7 linked regions of the Cricetulus griseus genome follow. The protein of the gene in region 4 interacts with the protein of the main gene of each other region in a pairwise test. Links are inferred from orthologs where the notes say so. Each region holds a gene or a part of one and is shown on either strand. Other genes may lie near its edges. The genes, in order: Ttc19, Pepd, Tollip, Atxn1, Zbtb32, Slc6a13 and terminal nucleotidyltransferase 5B.

What was found.
Region 1: the proteins of Atxn1 (region 4) and Ttc19 interact in binary tests that used the Homo sapiens proteins (3 or more experiments, as listed by UniProt). The link is inferred for Cricetulus griseus from reciprocal best matches to the Homo sapiens genes ATXN1 and TTC19.
Region 2: the proteins of Atxn1 (region 4) and Pepd interact in binary tests that used the Homo sapiens proteins (3 or more experiments, as listed by UniProt). The link is inferred for Cricetulus griseus from reciprocal best matches to the Homo sapiens genes ATXN1 and PEPD.
Region 3: the proteins of Atxn1 (region 4) and Tollip interact in binary tests that used the Homo sapiens proteins (3 or more experiments, as listed by UniProt). The link is inferred for Cricetulus griseus from reciprocal best matches to the Homo sapiens genes ATXN1 and TOLLIP.
Region 5: the proteins of Atxn1 (region 4) and Zbtb32 interact in a two-hybrid assay, tested with the Homo sapiens proteins (2 studies listed by BioGRID and IntAct). The link is inferred for Cricetulus griseus from reciprocal best matches to the Homo sapiens genes ATXN1 and ZBTB32.
Region 6: the proteins of Atxn1 (region 4) and Slc6a13 interact in binary tests that used the Homo sapiens proteins (3 or more experiments, as listed by UniProt). The link is inferred for Cricetulus griseus from reciprocal best matches to the Homo sapiens genes ATXN1 and SLC6A13.
Region 7: the proteins of Atxn1 (region 4) and terminal nucleotidyltransferase 5B interact in binary tests that used the Homo sapiens proteins (3 or more experiments, as listed by UniProt). The link is inferred for Cricetulus griseus from reciprocal best matches to the Homo sapiens genes ATXN1 and TENT5B.

Annotation. Positions count from the first base shown.
Region 1 is NC_048600.1:76,307,606-76,311,105, reverse strand, and holds part of Ttc19 (tetratricopeptide repeat protein 19, mitochondrial), read right to left. Parts: intron 3,292-3,500; coding exon 3,235-3,291; intron 2,509-3,234; coding exon 2,447-2,508; intron 1-2,446. UniProt on the Homo sapiens protein: Required for the preservation of the structural and functional integrity of mitochondrial respiratory complex III by allowing the physiological turnover of the Rieske protein UQCRFS1.
Region 2 is NC_048602.1:3,456,029-3,459,215, forward strand, and holds part of Pepd (xaa-Pro dipeptidase), read right to left. Parts: intron 1,422-3,187; coding exon 1,237-1,421; intron 1-1,236. UniProt on the Homo sapiens protein: Dipeptidase that catalyzes the hydrolysis of dipeptides with a prolyl (Xaa-Pro) or hydroxyprolyl residue in the C-terminal position.
Region 3 is NC_048596.1:59,283,494-59,287,582, reverse strand, and holds the start of Tollip (toll-interacting protein), read right to left. Parts: upstream 2,801-4,089; 5' UTR 2,674-2,800; coding exon 2,641-2,673; intron 1-2,640. UniProt on the Homo sapiens protein: Component of the signaling pathway of IL-1 and Toll-like receptors. Inhibits cell activation by microbial products. Recruits IRAK1 to the IL-1 receptor complex. Inhibits IRAK1 phosphorylation and kinase activity.
Region 4 is NC_048596.1:265,280,488-265,283,987, forward strand, and holds part of Atxn1 (ataxin-1), read right to left. Parts: intron 2,417-3,500; 5' UTR 2,254-2,416; coding exon 412-2,253; intron 1-411. UniProt on the Homo sapiens protein: Chromatin-binding factor that repress Notch signaling in the absence of Notch intracellular domain by acting as a CBF1 corepressor. Binds to the HEY promoter and might assist, along with NCOR2, RBPJ-mediated repression. Binds RNA in vitro.
Region 5 is NC_048602.1:5,237,712-5,241,856, forward strand, and holds the start of Zbtb32 (zinc finger and BTB domain-containing protein 32), read left to right. Parts: upstream 1-1,345; 5' UTR 1,346-1,564; intron 1,565-2,442; 5' UTR 2,443-2,541; coding exon 2,542-3,407; intron 3,408-3,604; coding exon 3,605-3,678; intron 3,679-3,959; coding exon 3,960-4,124; intron 4,125-4,145. UniProt on the Homo sapiens protein: DNA-binding protein that binds to the to a 5'-TGTACAGTGT-3' core sequence. May function as a transcriptional transactivator and transcriptional repressor. Probably exerts its repressor effect by preventing GATA3 from binding to DNA.
Region 6 is NC_048601.1:23,582,513-23,586,012, reverse strand, and holds part of Slc6a13 (sodium- and chloride-dependent GABA transporter 2), read left to right. Parts: intron 1-502; coding exon 503-643; intron 644-3,500. UniProt on the Homo sapiens protein: Mediates sodium- and chloride-dependent transport of gamma-aminobutyric acid (GABA). Mediates transport of beta-alanine. Can also mediate transport of taurine and hypotaurine.
Region 7 is NC_048595.1:19,784,018-19,788,196, forward strand, and holds the start of terminal nucleotidyltransferase 5B, read right to left. Parts: upstream 2,801-4,179; coding exon 2,537-2,800; intron 1-2,536. UniProt on the Homo sapiens protein: Catalyzes the transfer of one adenosine molecule from an ATP to an mRNA poly(A) tail bearing a 3'-OH terminal group in an ATP hydrolysis-dependent manner.

The sequences.
Region 1 (3,500 bases), on a different chromosome or scaffold from region 4:
GTATTAAGAATCTGTGGTTTCTCATCAGCTGGACCTGAAGAATAAGATGTGAGTAACAAAAGACCAACACCATTCACATAAAGTGAAGCCTTTGCTTTGCTGGAGCAGTCAATGCTGCTTAGCCAAAGCTGAAAAATTAGTGGTGATTTTACTACCAGCATCACTGAGGTGGGTAACAGCTGAGGCTTTGGCCCTGTATGGCAAGGGTGGAGTCCTGCACGATGGTAAAAGTGCAGCCTCAGTTGCAGTGGAGGGCCCTAGCATACTGGAGACTAATATCACAGGACAACTGCCAAGGACTAAACAGCTGTGAGGTGGGGCTGACCTACGCCTATAAGCTTTGTATGCAGGAGAGAAAGAGTTGGAGCTGCCTAGCCCTTTGGAGACCAGAAGATCGTGAGTCTCAGACATAACAGCTATTTATACTTCTGAGAAGAATTGGGTTTTGCTTTGATTTCATCATAACCATGCCCTGGTTCTTCCCTCTTAGAATAGAAAGCATGTAACTTACTTTGGTTTTAACAGAAACCCACAGTTGGATATTTTAAAGAGGCTGAATTTAAAGCATTTGAAAAAAATTTTTAAGACTATGCAACTTTTAAAGTATATTATGTTTTAGGCCAGGAGTGGTGACATACACCTTTAATTCCAACACTCAGAAAGCAGAGACAGGTGGATCTCTGAGTTGGAAGCCAGCTTGTCTACACAATGAGAACAAGAATAGCTAGGGCTGACCGTGTCTCAAAAAAGATTATGTTTTATTTTGTGATACTAATATTAACATGACATCTTGGGGACAAGATTGAAAGGTAAGGGTATATGTGAACAGTGATGTGTGTCTGTGTCAAGGTGACAAGGGGTTAATCATGCTATCTAGTTTTTTATCAACATGATACAATTTAGAGTTAAAGAGGGACTCTTGGCTGAGGAAATTCCCCATTAGATTATCCTGTAAGCAAACCTGGGGGGTGGGGTGCAGTTTCTTGATTGATGATTGACATGGAAGGGCCAGCCCATTGTGGTGTTACCCCAGGCAGATAGTCCTGGGGCATATAAGAAAGCAAACTGAGCAAGCCAGGAAAAGCAAGCCAGTAGGCATCATTACTCTGAGGCTTATACTTAGTTCCTGCTTCAACTCTCTACCTTGGCTTCCTTCAATAGACCATATTCTACCGAGCAAAAGAAACCCAAGACAATGGTTCTTAAGGCCTCACAGGTTTCCAGCTTTTGGCAACATCTAAACTGTTTCTTAAAGCCTTCCATGTAGTCAAAGGGCTTTTTCTTCTTTATAAGAATTTAGGGTCATTTGTGGTAATACACAACTTTAATCTCAGCACTCAGGAGGCAGATACAAGTGTGAGTTAGAGGTCAGCCTGGTCTACACATCAAGCTCCAGGATAGCCAGGGCAACATAGAGATGCCTTGTCTCTAAAATAAATTTAAAAAAAAAAAATCAAACTTATCTACCATTTTTAAACCTAATTCCTAACTTCCATATCCAGACTTCCCTCTGCTACTGGCTATATCCCCCTCCAAAATCCTACTGATTATTTCCACCTGCTCTGAAGACATTTAAACAAAACATCTAATTCCACTTATAGCCACCTGTGCTAGATATAGATAGACTTATGACAGCTAGACACAAGCTAGAGTCATCTTTGAGAAGGGAACTCAACTGAGAAAATGCCTCGATTGGGTGGGCTGCACACAAACACGTAGGGCATTTTCTCAGTGACTGGCCTGGATGTGCCACCCTGGACTGGAGGTCTTGGGTGCTACACGAAATCAGGCTAAGCAAAGCAGTAAGCAGCACCTCTCTATGGACTCTGATCAGCTCCTGTCTCCAGGTTTCTGTCCATTTTGAGATCCTGCCTTGGCTTCCCTCTGTATAAAAACACCAAACAAACCCTTCCCATCCCAAGTTGCTTTTGGTCATAATGTTTTAACACAACAAAAGAAACCCTAACTACAACAGCACTTATTTTCCAGAATGAATAGTAAGCTGAGCCAGAGAAAACCAGTAAGTAATTCTCACCATTTAACTTCATACTTAACTTATTCTTTTGCTGGTAGCAGTAGAGGACTTCTTTAAGTCTGTTATGCTGTGGTACTTTTAACACTGTTCCCTTTGCTTCTAGGAAGAGTTAGGTACAGGCCTAACTCTATTTCCTCCTCATTTCAAGCAAGAACTGAATACTTGATTAGCTATCACCATGCAGTTACAGGGATGAGGGCTGTGTAGACCACATCAGGTAGATGGAAACAAAAGGAGGGAACTCAAGATTACAAAGATGAGAAATGCAACACTTTGAGTGTGACATTCAATTTTTTGGAGACCCAGATGATTGACAGGTAAATTAACCTATATAAAACCCCAAGGTCTGAGTGTTCTGCTCATCACTCTACTAGCTAGCCATTGCCACATCCATATTCTGATCATACTTACTTATTCTGAGCAGCATAGATACTGGCCAGCTTCAGAGAGATCTCGATTATTGCATTGTCCTCCTGTTGGAACCAAAAAAGAAAAAGAAGAGAGAGAGAAATAAAAATTTCTTATGGAGTATTTCCAACTTTTCTACTAAATTTGGCCTCAAAGCCAGTCTTTCTTCCTTGAAAAGAATTAACCAACTATGAATTCTTTGGCAATTGTTACTTGGAATCAGTAAAATACTGGCTATTTTTTTTAACAGGTCTAGGGGTAAAATAACCATCTTTTTTTTGTCAAAGTACCTATGTTCTAGGCCTGAGGCTACAGGGCATATCCTGGTTGGTTTTTCGGTCAAGTAAACACAAGCTACAGTTATCTGGAAAGAGGAACTCAATTGAGAAAAATGCCTCCATCAGACTCTAGGCGTGTCTGTGGGGGCATTTTCTTGACTCATGATTGATGTGGGAGGGTCCAGCCCACTGTGGTGGTATCACCCCTAAGCAGGTGGGTTTGGGTGACTGAGAAAGCAAGCTGGGTGAGCCACATGAAGCAAGCCAGTAAGAAGCAGTTCTCTATGTCCTCTGCTTCAGTTCCTGTGTCTAGGTATCTGCCTAGAGTTCCTGCCCTGACATCCCTTAGTGATGGACAGTTACCAGAAAGTTTAAGATAAAATAAAGCCTTTCTTCCCCAAGTTACTTTTGGTCATAGTGTTTTATCACAGCAACAGAAATCCTAACTAAATCAGGGAGTTTTCATTTTGTTAATTGCTTCGATAAGGAGACAATATTAGACAGTGTCCTTACCTGCTTCATGCCTCCTCCAAGCAGGTAACTCATTGTTGCTTTAAAAAGTTGTTCTGCCTAAAAGCATAAAAATTCTTAACAAACCATCTATATATGACCCTTGATTCTAAATACCAAGCTAATTCTCAGAATGCATTGAGACTCTTATAAAGGGACCAAAAGATCAGGATCTCACATCTCCTTAGTACCTTACAAGTAACCTGTGATGAGTGGAAACTAAGTTCAAGAGATTAATCACCTGAACCAATGTCCCCTAATAGTCACCC
Region 2 (3,187 bases), on a different chromosome or scaffold from region 4:
TTACAGGCTGCCCTCCAACAGACATAGCTTAGAGGAGGCTGGTGAGCCGGTCCAAGTGACCCACGGGCCAAGGATGGGGATGCCAGCTATGCTAGGGGTGTCCATGCCCACTACTCTGCCTGGGCAGAAGGCTCAGTGGGGCCTCAACTTGTACTGGACTCTGAGGAGAGACCCAGATGTGTCTGTAGGCCTGAAATAAAACAAATGACTTTTATAGGAAAAGCCATATTTTTTCCACAGTGTTTATCTGTCAGAAGAATAGACTGAGCACAAAGGGCTGCTTACTGGAAAAGATGAAAACAGTTTGCTGCCAATTTTCTTTGGTGGAAAAAAGGACTTTGGCGACTAATGAATAACGAACCTCAACTAACAATGTCTGGAAGGGCCTGCTCTTGGCTCCCTGCACACAATAGGATGGACAGAAATTAGGAAATTAAAACTGATTTTGTTTCTCCAAATTTAACTGTTTACACTTGAGAAAAAAATAATTGAATAATAATGCTTCTCTTGAGCAATCCTCCCCTCCCCCCAAATCATTCTCTGTGCTTTCAAAATACCCCACAGCCAAGAGGCTGGGTCCAGGCTTGGCTAACTGGCTGGGGGGCCCCAGGGTGTGCACCAGTTGCACAATCCGCCCCCTGCACGGTGGGCCCCAGGCCAGGCTGGGCAGCAGGAATGGGCCCCGAGGGGCTGTAGCCACCTGCCCAGTAAGGGCTTCCCAGGAGCCCTCTGGAACCCACTGGGTGGTCCCTGGAGAGCTGGCAGCACGAGAGGGCGAGGGAGCCCTGTCTGAAGGTGCCCCTCAAGCCTTCCTCTCCTGCCAGTGGCCCGGGAGGCAGAGGGTGAGGCAGCGAGGGAGCTGGCAAGGGCTCTGCTGCTGAGCAAAGGGCTGAAGGCAGTGTGAATGAAGGACGTGCAGGCTTTGGTGTGACTCTGAAACCTGGCTTCAGCTCCGTTATCTTCTGGGGAACCTTTGCACAGATGCTGTGCACACAGCGTGTGTCCTGAGGCCTCATAAACAGAGGCCTCCACCTCCAAGCCTGAAGCCTTTGCAGCTACTGGGGAAGTCCACTCACTGACCCACCCTGTGTGTCCGGGACTCACTTCCTGTGTGTCACAGGGAGACCCATCCTCCTGTTTGACTGTATCTCCAGTACCCCCCCCCCGCCCCCATGAACCCCCACTCTACCCCAGTAAGCTCCAGGCACAGGGAGACCAGCATGTGCACTAACTAACCTCAGGGTAGCCGCCCACGTCGTGCACATCGAGGCCCAGGAAGTGACCGAGCCCATGTGGCATGAAGACTGCCCCCAGGTGGACCTGGAGCATGGCGTCTACACTGCCACTCAGGAGGCCAATGCGGGTCAGTTCCTCCAGGTGGATACGGTCGGCCAGCCGGTGCATGTCAGGCCACCAGACACCTAGGGTTGAAGGAGAGGCCATGGTAAGCCGGGGCTCTACAGACCGCGGGGTGAGGACCCAGACTCTGCACCATCATAGTGCAGGGCCAAGCTTCTGTCACCCAAAGCCACGGGCTTGGTTGTTCTGCTCAAGAGCTGAAGTGGGTGGCTCAGGCCCAGGCATCCCTGCACACCCCAGGATGGCTAACTCAGTCTGGAAGCTGCTGTGGGAACAAAGGTTTCCGGGGGAAGGGACAGCTGGTGGGGCCTCACCCTCTGGTGGGCAGGGGTCTGGAACCATCTCCATAGTTGCCTAGATGTCTAAGCCCAGGCTGCTAATCAAACTCATCTCTGCCCCAAGTTTCTGGAGCAAAGGTCACTGCGGGGAGCTTTCTATGCCGGCTAGTTTTATGCCAACTTGACACAGGCTAGTTATTGGAGAAAATGCCTCCATAAGGTCATGTTGCAGGCAAGCTTGTAGGACATTTTCTTAGTGATTGATGAGGGAGGCCCAGCCCATTGTGGGTGGGGCCATCTCTGGGCCGGGGGTCCTGGGTTCTATAAGAAAGCAGGCTGAATAAGCCATGAAGAGCAAGCCAGTAAGCAGCAATTCTCCCTCTCCATGGCCATCAGCTCCTGCCTAAAGGTTCCTGCCCTGTTTGAGTTCCTGCCCAGGCTTCTCTAACGAACTGTTATATAAGCCAAATAAACTGCTGAGTCTCCCGAGGTTGCTTTGGGGGTGCTTCATCACAACCACAGAAACCCTAAGATACCTCCCATGCTCATAGCTTCAGGGGCCAGATGGGCTTCATGGCTCTGGGGTTTAAGGACAGTCAGCACTGCTTGGACTAATAGGCCCCTGGAGGGCCTCAGACAGCTTCAGGGACTGCCCTGCCTGCTATGGTGGTCTCCAGGGAGACCACCAGACAAGGACCTAGGCCCAGGGTAGTCTTCAGCCCTGATCCCATAAAGGCTGAGCCTAGGTCACAGCAGTGCACCGGTTAGAGGGTAGATGACGGCGTTGTCCTCCCAGTCAACACCAAAGGCGTCTCAGCCATGTCCTACTCTGGCTTAGAGCCTGGCCTGTGGTCACATCACCTCACCCCTTGATGAGCAACGCTGCGAGAAGGGAGGGTGAGAAACCTACATAATTCAAGGGCCTCCAGCAGTGGTTCTCACCCTGTGGGCCACAATCCCTCTAGGGGTCGACCCTTGGGGGGGGGTCTCATCAGATATTTACAATATGATTCATAATAGTGGCAAAATAAGTCATAAAGTAGCAACCAAAATAATGTTATGGCTGGGGGTCACCATAAAGGGTTACAGCATCAGGGAGGTCTAGAGGATAATGAACCAGAAAGGGCCAGGCCTGGAGGCCCAGACTGCGGAGCCTCCGTGGCTGATAGAAAGCCGGTGAGGAGTCCCTTTCCAGCAAGGCTAGCTCATAGGGTGCTGTGGGACCCATGGCCCAAGCCGTGTATGTGGAGAGGTGGGAGGTTTGGCTCTGAGGCGGAGCCAGCCTTCCTAGGGTCTAGAATCTGCTGCTGGGCAAACCTGGGGAGCGTCTGGTTATTGCTGCCTCGAATCTGGGGTCCTCCTAGACATACAACTCTGACCCAGTCTGCACCCTGTGCGTGAGAGCTTTCGAAATTTAATGGGTGGCATTTCAGGGGTGGAGGCTGGGTACCGGGATCCTAGCTGTTACTCGTATGACCTGAGCAGGCTGTCCTGACTCCCTGACAGATACAGGTGCTGCATCTGGCCCAGAAGGCTGGCTAGTCTTGCAT
Region 3 (4,089 bases), about 210 Mb from region 4:
GACCCCCCCACCCCCCCACCCCACCCCCCGCAAAAAAAAAAAAAAAAAAAAAACCACTACTGTAGGAAAGGAGCAGGTGTGCAGACTGGGTAGCAAAAGGGGTAATTTCAAAATACCAGTATTTTCAAAAGTGAGATGGCTATGAAAGATTGTAGTGCCCTATAGTGGCTATTAAACAAAACAAAACAAAACAAAACAAAAAAAACAAAACACAAAAAAAAAACGTAAAATACCAAATGTCCCAGGGAAAAACTTATTCCTTCACAATTATGTGGGTTCTGGCTCTCCTCCTCATACTTGCCCCATCCCAAACCCTCAACCAAGAATAGAGAACCCTCCTAGCCCAGATGAGAGTGTCCTCAGCCTTCTATAGCCTCCCAAGACACTGTCAGTCCTTCCCCACTCATCAGAGGTGAAGGTCAGCTATAGAGACAACTGCCCAAGCCTAGTCCAGGCTCCTGGGAAGGGGACTCTGAACCATAGCCTAACCCCCTGCTGCGGTTACAAAAAGAAGGCTGCCAATAGTACCCAGTACTGACCAAATGTGTACTTCTGTTTATCTTTACAGCTCCACAACCCTGAGTATGACATGAATAGTAGGGAAGAACTACCACACTCTTGACAGTTCTACTAGACCCTGACAACTGGCTAAAAAAACCTTTGCAAATATTAATGAATCCAGAGGCATATAGGTAGATCATTCTAGGTGAAGCAGCCAGTGAAAAGCTGAAAACTGTAAAAGGCATGCACTCTAAGAAACAGCACTTACCAGATCAAGTTCAAGATCTTCTAGTCTTTAAGAGACCCTGGCCATAACCCATTCACTCCTCCCACACCAAGTCCATACCTTTCTGTTTTCAATGATTAAGAGCACAGACCTGATGGTGACTGTTATTTTCTGGCTTTATATGGGTCACCATGCATAGCTGTGTCCCTGTGCTCCACACTTTTGACTCAGTGTCCAATTGCTCTAAATACTGTGGCCAATAATACATCCCAAGCAAAGTCTAAGATATCTGTCACTGATGACAATTTCTTAGAGTCCAGACACAATATTACAAGTCATCAAGAGTGCTCCTAAAAAACCATTCAGCTGTCTATGTTTATTTATAAGACTCTGTGGTCCCTAGAACACTGGGCAAGTAGAAAGATCAAGCGTCAGGACTTGACTCCACAGATTGCGCTAGTATGAATGTCACCCGACACTCCCAATTACTCATCACAGCGTGGGTTACCCCAGCTCTATACACACAGCACCAGAGTTTCCCTCAGCAACACGGGAGGACACCTTCTTACTCAATTAATGACGGACATTAAGCTCACCATCAGATGAATTCAAATGCAGTCCAGCCACAGAAGTAAAGGCACTCTCAGACACACAGTAAGGAACGGTCCACTCTGCCTGGCCCTGTGTCCACTTGGCAGGAGATAGGAAAAGAGCAAAGTACTGGCTCCCTTCCTCTTCTGTCAGCCACTAGCAATCTTCTGTAGTTTGGTGAGACACAGTGAGGATGAAGAAGGGTTGCTGAACATGAAGGTAACCCCAACTCTGGTCAGGAAGTCTGGCTTTAAAGCCCTCCAAAAAAGCACCCTGCCTGGGGCTTTCTTCAAAGTCAGAAAATCAGTCATCTACCCCAATGATTTATCTGTTACACACACACACACACACACACACACACACACACACACACACACACACCTGTCAACACCAAGCTGTCAGGGTGAGGGACCTGGGAAACCAAAGGCTTTGCAGACACTTTCAATAACTTCAGGGAAAAGACAATGGAGCCATCAGAACTGTGTTCTACACACATAACCACTGTTAGCTAACAACATCCAACTCATATCAGTCTCAGAGAACTACTGGGAGGACATCCACACTAGAGGTAGGAGAGACAGGTAGTGTTGTGGACCCCAAGACAACCCTTAGGAGCCATCACTGTTGGTTTTCCACGTTTTCTGCTCCCTTCTCCTCATTTATAGATGAACAACTGAGACTTGGAAAGGTAGCCACTAACCGGGCTCAAGAGGTAGCAACCCTGTTCTCTATAGGAGCAGGGAGAGGAAGAAACTGACACAACTAAGAGCTGATTACAAAGTGGGATCTTTCACCATCTCTGAAACATCAGAGGAGTGTCAGGCCCCACTCCTCTGAGAGATCATGGGAGCCAAGACTATCAGTTTGGGAAATTAACAGGGTCAGGACCACTCTCCATTTGGGGAACCAAGCGTCAGGGCCCATGTCCATCTGAGAGACCAAGGGGTTGGTATACATCTGGGGAAGTAAGGGGTTCGGGACCCTTTTTCCACCCGGGGAACTAAGGGGAGTCGGGGTCCCTCTCAGTATGGGGAACCAATGGGGTCACGTTCCTCTGTGTGGAGGACTAAGGGATTCAGGGCCCCTCTAGGGATTCAGGGGTTTCAGGGCCCGTGGGCATCCAAAGAACCATCAAGCTCTGCCTTCTTCCACCCGCGAGACCCTCAGGACCAGAGTCGCTACTCCGTTTGGGTACCCGAAGGTGGGACCCGCACAGCTCCGGGACGGCCGAGCAACTCGCGAGGGGCCCCACGAGGGGCTGACAAGAGGAGCCCGATCTCAGGCTGCGTTGCCCCAGTCCGGCCCTCGCCCAGTGGACTCACCGGCCCGCGCTGCGTGCTGACGGTGGTCGCCATGATGTTACGGCGACCCTGTGCCTCACCGACCGCACAGAGACCCGCCGGGAGAGTTCTTCCGCCCCCACCTCAACCTGCGTCGCCGACCGTTGTCCCGCGAGGCAATCTGCGCCTCAGTCAGCTGACAGTCACCCCGCCCCGCCCCACCCCGGCATTCCCAAGGCGCAGCCGCTTCGCAATGGCTAATCCCGCCCCTTCCGGCTAATCCGCGCATGCGTGCAAAGGGCTGGGGTGAGGGCGGGTTAAGTCTCCCGTGTACGCCTGCGCGGTGGTCACTCCTGTAGTACGGTAAGCCCTTAAAATGGCTGCCAGGCTGTCTGCGCATGCCTAAACCTGAGTGTTTCTCGGCGTGAGCCAGTCTGTTGACCCAGGACCAGGCACCCGAAACATGGATGTTTATCTCAACTCCGTCAAGTCGTCACAACGTCCAGTCACCTGGCTGGAGATAGCTAGGAGACCACCACCTGCAAGGTGCCTGATCCGCTTGAAGAAAGGAGAAAACTGATGTTTGGCAGCTTGAGGAGAAAGCAGATGGCAGTAAAACCAGTTACCCTCAAGCCCTTGAATTACTTCAAAATGCTGTGGGAGGAAGAACATTTATATTTAAATGTTAAAAAAAGAAGCCAAGCTGAAGGAGAGGCAAGAGTGGGCTGGAACACTTCCACCAGCCTTGAATTTGCCAAATGAATGGAAGAGATGTCCCTAGGAAACCCAGGCCACCCACTCTTGCCTCTTCAGAGCGCTCTCTTCAGAAGGACCTTTGGCCAGATAGACTCAATGTAGTTCCTTTAAGTTTATCCTGTGGTGGCCCCAGATCTGCAGATCTCTTTCGCTTGTGCTGCAGTAGACTTGGTACTGCCCAGCACCAAATGTACTCCTAGTACATTTCTTCACTCACACTGTGTTCTATTGTGTTCCCTTCATCTCTAAGACCTCATCTTCTACCTCCATTACCAGTCTCTGCCTTGATAGCACATGGGACTGCATCTGGGCTCTGTCCCTGGATGCAGCTGTCTATCCAGTTCTCACTGGTCTGCAGCTGATGAAGCTAAGGCAGACCAGGACATAAGACTCGACACCCAATATGGCAGACAATTTATAAGAGACCCATGATCCCTTCCTGGGGTTCACATCCCTATACAATCCTTTCCCCTTGGTTATAGACAAAACCTCTGAATTGTGTCTAAAAATGCACCGGGCATCCTGCAAGTTGTGTAAGATTGTATCTGGACAGCAGACTAGGAACTTCTTGTGACTAAGACCTGCTAAAAATGATTGGGTTTGAGATGTTCACACATATGCCCTTTAATGGATTCCCAAATCCCTCAATATTAAAGAGGTAAACAAACAAACAAAACAAGCAACAAAACCAGGGAGAATTGTTACTGAGGAAAAACTTTATCACATAAAATTCCC
Region 4 (3,500 bases):
GGACAATCCTGGGAATCTGCATTTTCCTACTTTGTGACTTCTGACACACAGTCCAGGTCACCCTAAAACCCAATGACAAGAATCCCACCCCATGACACGCCTCTGGGATCCATCACAGTATCTGTGGTGGCTTTCCCGTGAGGAAGCTCTTCTTCAGCACTGAAGGTTCTCTCTCTCCCCAGAGGGCTGCAGCATGGCTGCCTATAGCCACGATGCCCTAGCTTTCTTAATGAAGATCATGTGGAAGGCAATTCTTCTCAGTTTCCTTGCCCCTGGATCACTGCAAGCATCCCTGCCCCTCATAGCACCGGGTACCAATGAGAACCCTACCTGCCAGAAGCAATCACTTTGCCAGGAGATGACAGAATGGGGGTAGGGGCTCCCTACCTGAATGACCCTGGTGAGGGTTACCTGGGCTCGATGTTCACCAACGGCGAATTGTATCACGGCCACACCGGGGCTGTGGCTGTCTTCGATCCTCTCCACTGTGCTGGAGTCAATCTTGAGGTCATTACTAATCTCTGCACTCTGGATGAAGTCCTCCGTCTTCAGGTCCTCCACCTTTTTCAGCTCCCCGTTGGCCAGTTGGATGATGGAGCCTTTCATGAAATATGGTGGCAGCGTGGGTGGCGCGGCGGCAGGGGATGCCACTGACTGCACCACGGGCAGGTGGATCTGGGCCTGCACCATGGCTGGGTAGGCGGCCTGGGTGACCAGGGCCTCGGGGTTGAAGTTCTCGCTCTTGGGCAGGGCGGTGGTGACAAACGTGTGAGGCACTGCAGCAAACTGGGGTGAAGATGTGACTATGGCCGAGGCTGCCCCAGGTGTGTCCATGTCAGGGCTGCCCACAGGGATGAGCAGAGGCTGGGTACCTGGGATCACCAGGTGCTGGGGCAGACTGCCGGCGTAGGTGATTGCTTGCTGCTGGCCACTCAGGTAGCCGATGACAGGAGGCTGAGTCCCAGCATAGAAGGCTGTGGCTGGCAGGCCCACTGGGAGAGGCTCTGATGCACTGTGTGTCGTCTGAATGACCGTGTGTGGGGACAGTGCATAGGAGCGGTGGCCGGGCTTCCCTAAGTGCAGGCTGCTCTTGTCATTGAGGGTGGATGGCGAGGCCTCGCGATGTGTGGCCTGCTGCGCCTCCAGGTCAGCTGAGGGTGTGTTGTTGTTGGGCAGGACCATCACAGATCCACGGACCCCAGAGGTATCACGACTGCTGTAGTCTGCTGGGCTTGGGTGGACCACCACATGCCGGGACTCATAAGGATGAGGCACTGACTTGCCGCTTGCCTTTCCCAGGCTCAGCTCCACAGAGGACGGTGCCCCATACCTCCGACTCTTCTCCATCTCCCCATTCAGGACCTCCTTGGCTTGCATAGCCTGCTGCAACCTGCTGCTTTCTGCTTTTTTGGTGGACTCTCGAGGAACAAAGTGGCCTCCGGCATCGCTGTATTGCACGACCACCTGGGACGAGGGCCCCAGGGTGAGTGTGTGCGGGATCATCGTCTGATGGGGATGGAGGTGGACCGGAATGGGTGGGGGAGATGCTGCCCGCCCAGAGCTCTGTGGAGAGCTGGAAATATGAATGTACTGATTCTGCTGGGTGGGTGGCGGGGACCCCGGGGTGACTAGCCCCGCAGCCCTGCTGAGGTGCTGCTGCGGTGGGGGCTCAATCTTATGTCCCGGTGCCTGGCTCAGACTGCCCATGTTGGCCAGCAGGGTGGAATAGGCCTCCAGCTGGGAGCGCTGTGATGGAGTGGTGGCCCCTGCAGCCGAGGCCACCGCACTGGTGACCGGGTTGCCTGATGGGGAGATTAGCTGGGAAGGGATAAAGCCAGCGTAGGGCCCACTGTATTGGGAGGACCCAATGAACTGGAAGGTGTGTGACAGGTGGGCATACTGCACTGGGGACACTGGAGTCCCTGACGGAGGAGGAGGGTACACTGCGGGCAGCGTGGTAGCTGTGGGGACTGACCTGGGGGCACTGGGTGGGGAGTAGTCCAGCCCTGCGGACAGTGCTTTATGTAAACCCATTCCTTGTAAACCAAGCTCCCCGGAAGTCCCTGCTGGCCCGTGCCGCCCACCCCCATGGCTGCGGCTGCCAGGGGTGCTGGGGAGCCATGCCACACCCTCCACGCAGTGGTTGTCGCTGGGCAGAGCAGTGGCCTTCTCCTCAGAGGGCCGGCTGGTGGCGGGGATCTCACGTTTTTTAGGAGGCAGGCATTCATTGCTCCTCTCTTGGTTGGATTTCATTTTTCGCCGTCCCCCCTCCACGGTGGCTGTTTCACTGTCTGGCTGGCTCTGATTTTAGTCTGATAGACAGAGAGTCACATTGGATTTCTGTAGGGGATCCAGGCCCTTCATGAGGAATCATCTCCCCGTGGGTTTGCTAGGCCGGCAGTAGCAGCTCCGGATTCTGAGAAGGGAAAGAGACCAGGAGTGGGACAGGAAAGAGAGAAGGGCGGGGGGGGGGGGTTGCGGGTGGGGAGGAAGGGGAGAAGAAGAAAACCAAAACATCAGCTCTGGGGGAAAAACTCCATCAGGTCAAACCAACAGTCCACCCACTCACCAACCAAAAACCTTATTACCACCAAGAGTAAGAGGAGACCCTGGATTCTGTGGGCATTCCAAAAGCAGATTATAGCTCAACTGTTAAAATAGATAAAATACGAGCTAGGCTAATTTGAGCTAATAAGAATCAATAAATAAGTAAGTTTAAGCGTGTACTATTCTTAAACATTTGCTCATTTGCTTATGATTTGTGTGTGTGTGTGTGTGTGTGTGTGTGTGTGTGTGTGTGTGTGTGTGTGTGTTGTGTGTGCATAAGCGCCTGCGTGAGTTTATGTATGTATGTCCCAGTACCCACAGAGGCCAGAAGAGGGCATTGCATTCCCTGGCACTAGAGTTATGGGCAGTTGTAATCCACCATGTGGGTGCTAGGACCTGAACCTGGGTCCCCTATAAGAACAGTAAACTCTTGATCATCAGCCATCTGTCTAGCCCAGACATACTTTCTTAATAAAACAGAGTAGGCAGTTCAAACATTTCTCCACACTTTCTTTCCTCTTCCACCATTTTTTTCTCTCCTTGGAGAGGAGGTAGATAATCCATTTTTCTCTTTTATAAGGCGCTCTTGTTGTTCTGGCTGGCCTCAAATTGGCTGTGTAATGGAGGCTGGCCTTGAATTCATGATCCTCCTGACTCAGCCTCTCCCAAGTAAGTACTGGGATCACAGGTGTGTGGCAATCTGCTTTTTTTTTTTTTTTTTTTTTTCCTAGATGATGATGCATTTTGTAAATTCCTTTCACAAAAAGGTTAGTTGATGGGGGAAGGCCTTCTGTGTATGTGTTTGTCTTATTGGTTGATGAATAAAGCACTGTTGGCCAATGAGGAAGCAGGATAGGTGGGAGTCAAGGAGGATTCTGGGAAATGTAGTAAGAAAGGCGTTGCCATGTGAGCCTGGGAAGACAGGATGCTTGCCGCCAGCATCCTCAATACGA
Region 5 (4,145 bases), on a different chromosome or scaffold from region 4:
AATCTCGTGTGTTCCCAAGTGTGTGATGTCAGGAATTAGAAAGCCCAGAAATGGAAAATATGTAACTTTCAGGGGAGCAGATGAACACAAGTTGCCATTTGCATTTTCCCTTTCGCTCTGACTCATCTTCCCCTATCTCCACCCTACTGCCCCTTCGCCAGCCTCACCCACCGACACACCCTGTCTGACCTAGGAGGGGCTGACACCTGCCTGCATCCAAGCTAGAATGGGAGGGAAGGCATCCTAGGCCCGGAGGGAGAGAGTAGAAGTCTGGTCTGAATACCCTGGAGCCCTGGAGCCAAAGGGAGAAAAGCAAATGTTACCCCATTGGGGCTAGGAGGGGCCGGAATCCAGGGAGAAACCTATGGGGACCGAGACTGAATCTTGTCACCACAGCGTCTACCAACGTCTGCCTAGTTTCTCTTTTAGCTGTTTATTGTACCTATATGAATACCAGACACATGCCACAAATATCCCAAGATATCTTCTCAGGGAATGGAAAGATCAGCTTAGGAATCGGATTAATAGAATGGAAAAAAAGGAAAAAAAAAAGAAACTGAGTCTCAAAGGGTTTGTCCCTTCCTCAAATTACAGAGTGTCAGAAATGGGTGTGGTGGCACTGGCTGAGGCAGGATAGACATTTCAAGGACATCGTGAGCCACACAGGAAGAGGAGAAGAGACGGTGGTGCTAAAAGCGTGATAAGAGGCGGAAATCTCCAGGGATCTTGACCCCTTGGGCAGAAAGTGAAAGAAGCCCCTGGTTTTGATTTCAGAGAAATGTCATTTGTCATCAGCCCAGGAAAAGGAGATTTTTCTCTTCGAAGACCACCACAGGCTTCCTGGGGTTGCCCCCCTCAGAGTCTGCTTGGAGGATCTGAGTCACACACACACACACACACACAACCCCAGCCCTTGCTGTGGTCCAGAGGACAAGGGTCAACCTCACAGAATAAGAGGGGCTCAATGTACCCAGCCAGGGAGAGAGGAAGGAGGCATGGCCCCCAGTTCCCCCGTGCTTCACATTCTGCTTCAGGCAGAAATGGTCTGCAGCTACTCCACACGTCTGTCACCTCTAAGACAGACCGAATAGCAGCTGAATGCTAGGCTGTACTGGCGGCTACTTCCCTATGCATGGCCCTTGGTCTTCACCCCTCCTCCAAAGGACACCAGTGGTATTTGACGCATGAGGAGACTGAGGCTCAGACAGATGACTTGCCCAAGGTGACTCAACTAGTAAATGGCACAAATGAGGCTCAGCCTCTGACTGTTCCAAAGTACCTGTGGCCACAGTTGATGTCTTTGGCTCTAAGGAATTGACAAATCACAGAGTTAGGTGAGGAGGCAGCCTGGGTTGTTAAAAGTAGATGGGTAGCCTCTGGCAGGTCTCAAGCAGAGACAGAAGGTATAAAGCCACACCCCTTTGGGGGGGACTGTGGCAGACTGATACTTGGGATGACTGAGGACAGGGGTGGAGCTAGCTGGGGTGGGGGGCAGGAGCCCCAAGAGCAGTATCGAGCATGCGAGCATGCGAGCATGCTGCGGTGCTAGGAGGCAGCTACAGAGGTGAGTGTTGTCTCCCGGAGCTGAGCCCCCTCCATTCCAACCATTTCTGTGCAGTCCCTGCCAGCTGGCACCCTTCACCCCAAGGTGTCCAGGTAGTAACCCTCCCTCCCTCCCTCCCACAGGGCCCCGGCTCACGGAGGGCCTGCATGCACCGGGGGTAGGCCTGCTAGGTGCTAAGACACTTGGGCTATTTCTTGATCTGTCTGTCTCCAGTATCCTGGAGGCCTGTGATGGTTTTCTTGTGTGTGATTCAACCCTCGACTTATTGGGCACTTTCTAAACCATTCGTTAGCCTCATTTTGTTCTCCAGTTTCCCTTTCCTTTTTCTCCTTCCACAGGCACCAGAGCCTTCTCTAAACCTCTGGTGTGGCTCTCTCAACTCGCTGGATGGCAATCTCTAGTCTTCCTCATTCCTTCTCTGTGTGCTAGAAGCTCCAGCCTCGGAGTGATGCCTAGCACCTGCTCTCCCTGCCTGGCTGCCTGCGTAACCTGTCCAGCTGTCTGGGCTCACATTGTGGGAAGACCCACAAGCTTTTTGAGGTCTTTCATGAAGTGGCATCTTACTCATTCATAAATGCCAAGTTTTGTGAGGAAAAGCCCAAGCTGCTCAGTGGGTCTTCCCTGCAAAAGAGCCCGGGGAAGCAGCAACCTTTAAACCCGAGTTTGCTAACTGTACGGGTCCTAGACCCCACTGCTTGCTACCTCTGCTAACTGCCTGGCTCTTGCTCCTTAGGCCCCAAACCTGACCCAATGTGGATGGATTCTCTTCCCGCTGCTTCCCCAGCTTGCCTTTGACTTGGTTTATATGACTCATTCAGGACAGACAGCTCCAGTCTGAGACTGGAGAGTCACTCCTCTTTCTCCCCTCCCCTCCACAGGCCTGAGAATATGCGGTTTCTCCCTCCCCTTTCTGCCATGGACCCCCCATTGTGGCTTTTCTGTCAGAGCCTCTGAAACTGGTAGATTAGTCGAGAGCAATGCCCCAGACCCCCACAAGGCTGATCAGCCCCTATGGCTCTGATCGGTTGGTGCAGTTAGCGGCTAGGCTTCGGCCAGCACTGTGTGATACCCTGATCACTGTAGGCGGCCTGGAGTTCCCTGCCCACAGCCTGGTGCTGGCAGGTGCAAGCCCGAGGCTGGGATGCAGGGGCAGGTGGGCTCTGGTTGAAGGCATCAGCCCTTCTACCTTTGCTCAGCTGCTAACCTTTGTGTATGGAGAGAGCGTGGAGCTACAGCCTGGGGAGCTGGGGAACCTTGAAGAGGCGGCCAGAGCCTTGGGGGTGCAGGCCCTGGAAGAGGCATGCAAGCGAGCTCAAAGGGACAAGAACGAAGATGAGCTGCATGGAGGACTGAAGAGGCACCAGGTGTCAGAAGAACTCACGAGGAGTTCTGAGAGAAGACCGGGGGGTCCTGGAGAGAAACAGAGCCCAGAGAAGGATTTTAGGAGTAACAGGAAAGAACAGGAGACGTTACACAAGCGCAGAGCACCCGGAGAGAGCCCTGAGAGGGCAGGGCTAACTAGGAAGATGAGAGCAGAGGAGGCCCTCAGCTCAGCCCCTGGGGGCCACAGGGGAGCAGAAAGGAAGCAAGGAGAGGCCATACAAGGTATAGAGAGCCCTGAGGGCTCTGAGGAGTGTCTTCGTGGGTGCCCTGGTCCCCTTTCCCTACCAGGTTCCCCCCTAACCAGCCTCATTCCCAGGCCCTGGTGGGCTGAGGCCCCTTGGTTGGGAGAGGGCCAACCTGGCCTGTGGAGCATCTTCCTGTGGCCGCCCAGATATGGCATTCCCTCCTCCCTTAGCACCCCCGTCACTGCAGCCTGGCAGGTCTGGCCTCAAGACCAGAGGTGAGTGAAGGGCTTAGTGGAAGGTATCTAGGCTGGGGGGGCTTTAGCTCAGGAGAGGCAGCAGTCATGGGTGGGAGGGAACCACGTCTCCATACGTTTGCTAAGTTAAGGAGACAACAAAATATTCTGATCTTGAGAGAGGCCAGAGCTGGTTAGGTTCTCAGGCTTCGCCAAGGCTGTAATTCTTCTCCACCCAGGATCCCACTGACCTTGAGCCACTCCAAAGGTCTCTGGAGTCAGAATCAGCTGGCCTCCTCTAGCTCCACTCCAGGTAAGCCCCTCATTGTTCCATCCAGGGCTTCTGCACAGCAGCTGGGCTCCAGGAGTCAGGCCTTAGCAGGGCCCCTACTTTACCCTACTTGCAGGATCCTTTCCCCAGGGCCCTGAACAACTCAGCCCTTGGGAGACAAAAGAGTCTGGGTAAGGGTACACAGTAAGCAGGGCGAGAGAACTGCTACCTCAGGGTCACCAAAGCTCTCAATTTCTTGCCTGGATGTATTGACTCAATTCAGGGATTCTGGTCATGCCATCTTGACTTCTCTGTCCACACAGGCACACTGGCAACCTGTGTGGGTCAAGAATGCACACTGAGCTGTCCATCTCACCAACACTCTGCTTTACCCCTTCCTGCTCGCTCCCGGCCCTATTCTTGCTCTGTCTGTGGAAAGAGGTTTTCACTCAAGCACCAGATGGAGACGCATTACCGAGTCCACACAGGTATGGGCATACTGCCCAGTG
Region 6 (3,500 bases), on a different chromosome or scaffold from region 4:
ATCAAATTCAGGTCCTCGTGCTGGCAAGGCTAACATTTTACCAACTGGGTCATATCTTCAGCCCTGCTCTTGCATTTTTACTTCAGAAATATGTCAGATTAATTCTAGGGGAATGAACTAAAGTCATGGTAGAGTTAGTTTTATTTATTTTGAGATAGGGCCTCACTAGTAGACCAGGCTGTCTTTGAACTTGTGGTAATCCAACTGCCTCTGTCTCTTGAGTGCTGAGCATACAGGTATGTGCCACTATGCCTGGCTCCAGCGTTATGTATTTAAACGGTAGCTCAGAGTCTGATAAATATCAAAATTCAGGCTTAACAGCAGAAGACAAGACAAAAGACCAACCTGGGAGACCACTGGAACCACTCCTTGGCCTGGGCTAGGTCTAGCACTTTTTGCTATGGGCCCTGATAGTGGCATGCAAGTCCCTTCCCTCACAGGAGTGGGTGGTATGTGAGACTCTTTGCACTGTCCTGGCCCAAAGCTTCAGTCCCCTCCCCAGGCATCGGCTATGCCTCACAGATAATCGTCAGTCTCCTCAATGTCTACTACATCGTTGTCCTGGCCTGGGCTCTCTTCTACCTCTTCAGCAGCTTCACCACCGACCTCCCCTGGGGAAGTTGCAGCCATGAATGGAATACAGGTAAGATCATTGCGAATAGCCCTCTCCCTTCTCCTGCTTGGCCACCTTCACCAGGAGTGAGGTTGTCATTGTATCCCAGACATCCAATCTCTAGTTCACATTTTGGACTCATAATCTGACAAATAGATTATGATGAACTTCTACGAAGAAGAGTGAGAGGCTGGGACGGAGCTCAGTGACAGACACAGGTCTGGTGTGTGAGTAAGGCCCCAGCTTCCTCCTCCAACACTCCCCTCCAAAGTGAGACTTCGCCAGCCCCACAGCAAAATGTCACGGACTTAAAAAAAAAAAAAAAAAAAAAAACAACTTGATGTATTCTATTTGTGTGCTGTGCAAATAGAACTGGCTTCTTTTACTGTGTTCAGTCACTTATTTGTTTCTATCTGAAATGTGGCCTGTTTGATACGTCAGCGTATTTATTTGTGTTTCATATCTGATATGATTTTAAGTTTTTCCAAACTTGTAATTTATCTGTGCTCAACTCATCCAAGAGTTGTTTTGTCCATTATCAATAAAATTCGCAATGACAACAGTGAAGCTATCCAGGTGGCACTTCTAAACAGCCCTGCCTGTGAGGATGGACATGCTCTCTGTGCAGTCCCCGTGGCTACTGGGCACGTGACATGTGTCCAGGGTGTCTGAGGAGCAGAACTGTGGAATTTTCACTCTAAGTGCCGGAAGGGCTAGTGGCTCGATAGCACAGACAAAGAACTCACTGGCCAGTGTTCTGCTTGGCTTCTCATTGCTCCACGTCATGATCAATGTCCAGGTATCTTTTAGTGCTTGTCCATGAGACAGTGTGAAGGAGTAATGGCAACGATGAATGCATTCTTGTACAGAGAAGCCGTTGGTTCTGAATGGGAGTTTGAATCCTTGACTTGCCAGGTTCAGATTGGCTTTCGTTACACCTTCAGAATCTGGCTTCTGCCTGTTCCTCTTAGCTCACCATGACCACCAGTGGCCTAGTGCTTCCTCCACACAGCCCTTTCAGGCAAGTCCTTGCCCGTCTCTGGTACCACCCGAGTTCCACCATCTTTGTCAAATGAAAAGCCAAATCTTAGAGGTGTGCTTCCCAACACCCAATGATTGCAATAGGCTCCTCCCAAATGACCTTTGGCCGCACACTGACCTTCGGCCCTTCCTGGGCATGCTTCTTCTTGCTGCTTCCTGATGTCATTGTCCTATTAGCTGGAAAGGCTATGAGGCAGGGAATGTGTTTTATCCTAGCATAAGCTGGGTACCTACCTTATAAGCTATCAAGAAATGCTGAAGGCCTGGGACTATGGATCTGACCTAAACCCTGTGACTGGCCATGCATGAAAGCAAAGAGCCCCACTCACCGGGAGCTGTCACTGAGTGGCAAGAGACACCCTGTCTTAGTTCGGGTCACTATTGCTGTGATGAAACACCATGACCAAAAGCAACTTGGGGAGGGAAGGGTTTGTTTGAGCCGCACTTCTGCATCACTGCTCATCACTGAAGGAAGTTAGGACAGGAACAGATACAGGGAGGAAACCTGGAGGCAGGAGCCGACGCAGAAGTCATTAAATAGTACTGCCCACTGACTTGCCCCTCATGACTTTCTCAGCCCGCTTTATTATAGAACCCAGGACCACTAGTCCAGGGATGGAACCACCCACAGTAGGCTGGGCCCTCCCCCATTAGTCACTAATTAAGAAAATGCTCCTTAGCAACGGTTCTCAACCTGTAGGTCATGACTCCATTGGGAGGGGAGGTCACATTTCGGATATCCTGTATATCAGATATTTATATTACAATTCGTAACAATGGTAAAATTATAGTTATGAAGTAACAATGGAATAATTTTATGGTTGGGGGTCACCACAACATGAGAAACTGGATTAGAGGGTTGCAGCATTTGGAAGAATAAGAACCTCTGCTCTATGGGCTAGCCTATAATCCAATTTTTTTTTTTTGAGACAGGGTTTCTCTGTGGCTTTGGAGGCTGTCCTGGAACTAGCTCTTGTAGACCAGCCTAGCTTTGAACTCACAGAAATCCCCCTGCCTCTGCCTCCCGAGTGCTGGGATTGAAGGAGTGCACTACCATCGCCCGGCCTACAACCCAATCTTATGGAGGCATTTTCTCATTTGAGGCTCCTTCCTCTCTAAGGACTCTAGATTGTGTCAGATTGACACAAAACCAGCCAGCACACACACTGGGAGCAAAGCAGAAAGGAATAGAGAGAAGTGGTACATTGTGTCAGGCTTGGCAGCAAACACCCTTGCTCACTGGGCTATTTATGGCCCCCCAAATATCTCTCTTTATATTCCCCAAGATTATATTGATGATAAAACATTAAAAAGAGTGTCAGCATTATATAAAACTCCAAAGTGATGTTCAGGTCATAAAGAGCCACCATTCATTGCCTCACATTTATGTTTTCATTTACTGCTCCACCAGTCCCTTCTATTAATATCTTTGTTCTAGAGATCAGGGAAGTGATGCTTGTGGTGTCAAACTGCCACTCACCCAAGGCCACACAGCCAATACCCTGAGAGTCAGCATTCAAGCCAATGCTCTCTGACCTTGTCCCTTTCAAGCCAGTGCTCTCTGACCTTGTCCCTACATCTGTGTTCTTGGGCACTTTGCTATGTGACTTGCTTAGAAGGTGTTCTTACCATTCCTCCAAAGCTGTGGCTCCACCTGGGACCATTCCCCAGGGAGAGCTTATATTTCAAATCACCTGTCACACAAAGCCTCTTCCCAAGTGCTGTTGGTGCACAAAGACAAACAGTGGAAAGTCCACAGTGGGGGTGTGTGAGAGGTGAGGTCGTCTCGTGGAAGGCTGCTGTGTGGGAGAATGTGTGGCTTGCAGGATTCGAGCCCAGAGCCTTC
Region 7 (4,179 bases), on a different chromosome or scaffold from region 4:
CACACCCCAGCAACTGTCCCCAGGTAGCCAGTGAGAGACCATCCCCCTCCGTGAGTCTCAGGTGAGCTGACTGGGCCTTAGTGCCAACTCCTGCTCCCCAGCTGATGCCCACTCCAGGGCATGGCATCTAGCCAGGTGAGTGAGGACGTAGCAATCCCCTCATTATATCCCCTGCGTCAGGGCCATGGGGCCAGTTGTGTCAGTTGTCTCTTTCCCAGGTATGACTATTGCCAGTTTGACAGGCGGTCCCCAGATACTGCCACACCCAAGGACTGCAGGGCAGCTTGCAGCCTCCCAAATCAGACTTTCCAACCATGGAGGGGGCACTGACTGTAGCTTCCTTCTCCTGTCCTGAGGCACCCAATTCCCCAAATTGCTCTGTCCAGGGCTTCTGCTGAGACCTTGGGAAGACTGAAGAGTTGCAAAGCTTGCAAGAGCAAGCCCTCTGGCTGCTGCTGGAGAGATCAGATCGTTTAGTTCAGTTCTCTGGGGTAAGAAAGCAAATGACTTGTTCAAGGTCACAAGCACAGTAAGTGGCTGAGTTGAACTAGAACCCGGTCTCCAGAACTAGAGAAGGGGATCCAGTAAGAAGGGGTCCCTTTAGCCAGGCACAAGCAAGGATGTATTTTTCTAGCTGCTCAGATTGCTGCAGTAGGGAAGACCCTGTTGGGTGCAAAGGTAGAAGGCTTCCATTCTTGAACCAGGAAGCACTGGGGAGAAGCCCTGAAAGTTCCTCCCTCCCCAGATCCTTAATATCCCCACAGCTTTTAAAGCTGCTAGCTGTGGATCCCCACCAGGAGACAGACTGATTGCATAGGCAGGCGAAGGCCCATGTTCCCTTGGGAGTCTGGAACCAGACAGGATATTGCTGAGTAGTCAAATCCACTTCCATTGCACAGATGGGGTGGGGGCATGAAGCCCAGCTGAGGGAATAAACAATGAACCCAGACACCCAACTTCAGTCTAGCCCTGAGGCCTCTGCCACCTCCCTACTCCACAGCCAACAGTTCCCTGTTCTGGGATACCCCTAGTTTAGGGGGCCATACCATGAAATTGGCGCCCTCACGTGACTAGGAGACAGAGGTTGGTACCCAGTCACATTTGTGCCCTTAGTGTCAGTTTAGATACTTGTTCCTGCTGAGGTGTGATCACTCTGGGCAGCACCTTTGCATCCCTGCATGCCTGGGACTATGGTATTTCCTCAAGAGAAAAACAAGCATTCACCTGTAATCCCAGCTACTCAAGACACTGGGGCAGGTGGATCATTTGGGCCTACAAGTTTGAGAAGGTGGCCAGGCAAAACATAGGAAGACCCTGCCTCAAAACAAAACAAGTCAAAGCAGGCTTATTAATAATCCAGACAACAGTGGGCAAGCAAGGAATGCTTTAGCCAGCTCCACTGGGACAACCAGTGAGTCAGCCCAGGAGAATCCATCCCTGCCCCCTCTGTCTCATTCCTTGTTCCTAGGAAGGGAGGGTAAGACCAATCCCCAGCAGCCACCCTCCCTCTCTGTTGGAGGCCAGAGTAGCAGGGGGATGTCCAGCTTTACCTGGTTTGTGTGTAAAGTCCATGAGTGGCAATAACACACAGGAAGCATCACTAGACTTTTCTGGTTTCTATTATTGGACTCGCCTAAGATCTAGATGCTGAACTTGGGAGTCAGGGGAGTGGTGGCTAACTCTGGAACCTGTACCATCTGTTCCCGGGGAACCCCCGGAATCCCCCGAGTTTTATCTCCACCATACAAAGTAGTCTTAGGCAGCAGCTCACCTCCTACCTGAGGCCTCAGCTGGAATGGGGGCGGGGGATGAGAACAGGCACCCCCTTGATATTTCAGAATACCGAAGCGCTCGGGCTATAGCCCCAAAGAGTAAGTTTGAGGTCATACAGGGTTAAGAAAAAGGAAGATGGAATTTGATGGAGGGAGCAGCTGCTAAAGCCTTCCCCAAACATCCTCAGGAGGTGGATAGTGCTTTGGGGTCATTTCCAGTCTTAAAGGAGGAGGAACACCTAAAATGGAAATTTGATGCTATCTTCAGGGGTGGGATCTCGGGTCTGGCCAAAGCACGTGGGAGGCATGAATCTTCCCAAGGATTTCTGAACTGTCTCACCTAGCCAAGGTTTCTTGAGCCAAGGGCTGTGGGAACCTAAGGACAGTGCCCCTGGAACCCTGAGGGTGCAGGAGGTCCAAGGATGTGGAGTAGAGGAAGAAAGCTATTTTGGAACAAAGCACACGCACTCCTCATTGGCGGCTGCCTTTGCTTGCAGATAGAGAGATGCCTCCATCTAGTGCTTCCTCATCTCCCAGCCTGGGTCTTGGTGAGTGGTCCCCAGGGGATAAGGACTCCCCAAGACTGTGGGCAGGAAAGCTCAATAGGGTGCGGGGAGAGCAGAGCTGGCAGCCCCGGTTCCCATTCCTTAGTTAGTTAGTTTCATAGTGGCCGGGCCAATCGCAGACTCCAGGTGTCTGGCGGCAGAGCACCGTCCCCCTCGCCCGCCCCCGCCCCGCCCGCGCCCCCGCCAGCGCCCCTTCACCTGCACGATCTGTCGGGGCTGCACGCTCAGCGTGGGGAAGTTGCCTCGTCCGTGAATGGGGATCGGATCCCTCAGCAGCGCGTCCAGCCGCTTCACCTGTGGCCAGCTCAGCCGGCTCTGGTGTCGTCCCGGAGAGGCCGAGGAGGCCTCCGGGTCCGGGCCGCCGCCGGCCGCCCCAGCCGTGGCCAATGCCAAGGACTCGTCCGTCCCCTCTTGCGCAGCTGGCCGCTCCAGGCTCTCAGCTCCACTCTCCGACGGCATCATCCGCCCGGCCCCGGCGCCCCGACGGCAGAAACCCGGGAATGCTTAAGTCGAGGAGAGTAGTGAGAGTGTCTGCGCACCGGCCGAGGCTGGGGGCGGGGTGCGGAGCCCGGCGGCGGCGAGGCAAACCCAGGGGACACCTCCGACGGCGGCTAGGACTAACAGACCTCAGAGCCAGGTGGATGGGGCCCAGCTGAGTCTTATAGGCCGCGGGCCGCACCGCCATTGGTCGGCACAGCTGTCACACAGCGGGAGCCGCCCCGCCTCTCGTCCCGCCCCTACTATTGGCCCACCCAGTTTTTCACGGGAGTACCGGCTCCTAGGGATTCTGATTGGCTGAAAGGCACGCCCCTTCCCCGCCCCCTCTCTCCGGCTGAATTCCCTCCTTTGGTCTTTAAAGAACTTCTGCGGCCTGTGATTGGCCCGAGCCTGCCGGGATCTAGAGGGACAGCGCCCTCCAGCGGCAGGAGGGAGGGAGGTCTCTGTGAAGTTAGGTCGCCTTGTTTAATGAGGCGGCTGCTTTCTAATTTATTCCCTTGATTGGCCCCTCGAACCACAGCGTGCCTGACGTACACGTTCCATTTTAGGTGAGGTGCAATCTGCTCAGAGAGAGGACATTATTACCAACCATCATGTAGCGTGTGAGTGCCCGTTATGGTCCTGATGGAGGTGTAAAAATCTATGCAACATCCCCTCTCCGCTCCATCTGGGCAGATCCAGGGCCTTTCTGGAATGGATATTTCTGTTTTTCTTCTCTCTCTTTACAGATCATAGATGCTGAGACTTATTGCTACTTTTGAATTTGCCCAGTTTTACATTTTTTTTCAGATTTTAAATACATGTGACGTGGGGAGGAGGAAAAATCGTAACCCTGATTCATAACTGCAGTGTTTTTTCTTGTCATTCTCCCAATAACATAACAAATTCCACATCCTCCTGATCTATAAGGCAGGCTAAGGAGTAACATGACCGTGGAAGAGGAATCAAAACTTAGGAGCAGCTATACACCCCAGGATCTGAGAACACAGCTTAGCCTGTCTCAGAGCAGAACACACACGTTTCTTTCTGGAAGCCAGCCCCAGCACCATGCTACCCTTGTTTCCCTCTCCTGGAAACCCCGAGAGAAGGCACCATGTGCTCACCCGGTGAGCCTTAGCAATGCCCATGTATTCTCCCCAGAGACGTTGGTTGCTATTTTAACATTTTTATTCTTTGTTATTTTATTTTATACTTTGGAGACAGGGCCTCATTAGCTGATCTATAACTCACTATGCAGATCAGGCTGGCCTTGAACTCAGACACCTACCTGCCTCTGCATTCCATGTGCTGGAATCAACGCCACGCACCATTACTATTCTTTACATTTATTCACTCTGTGTGTG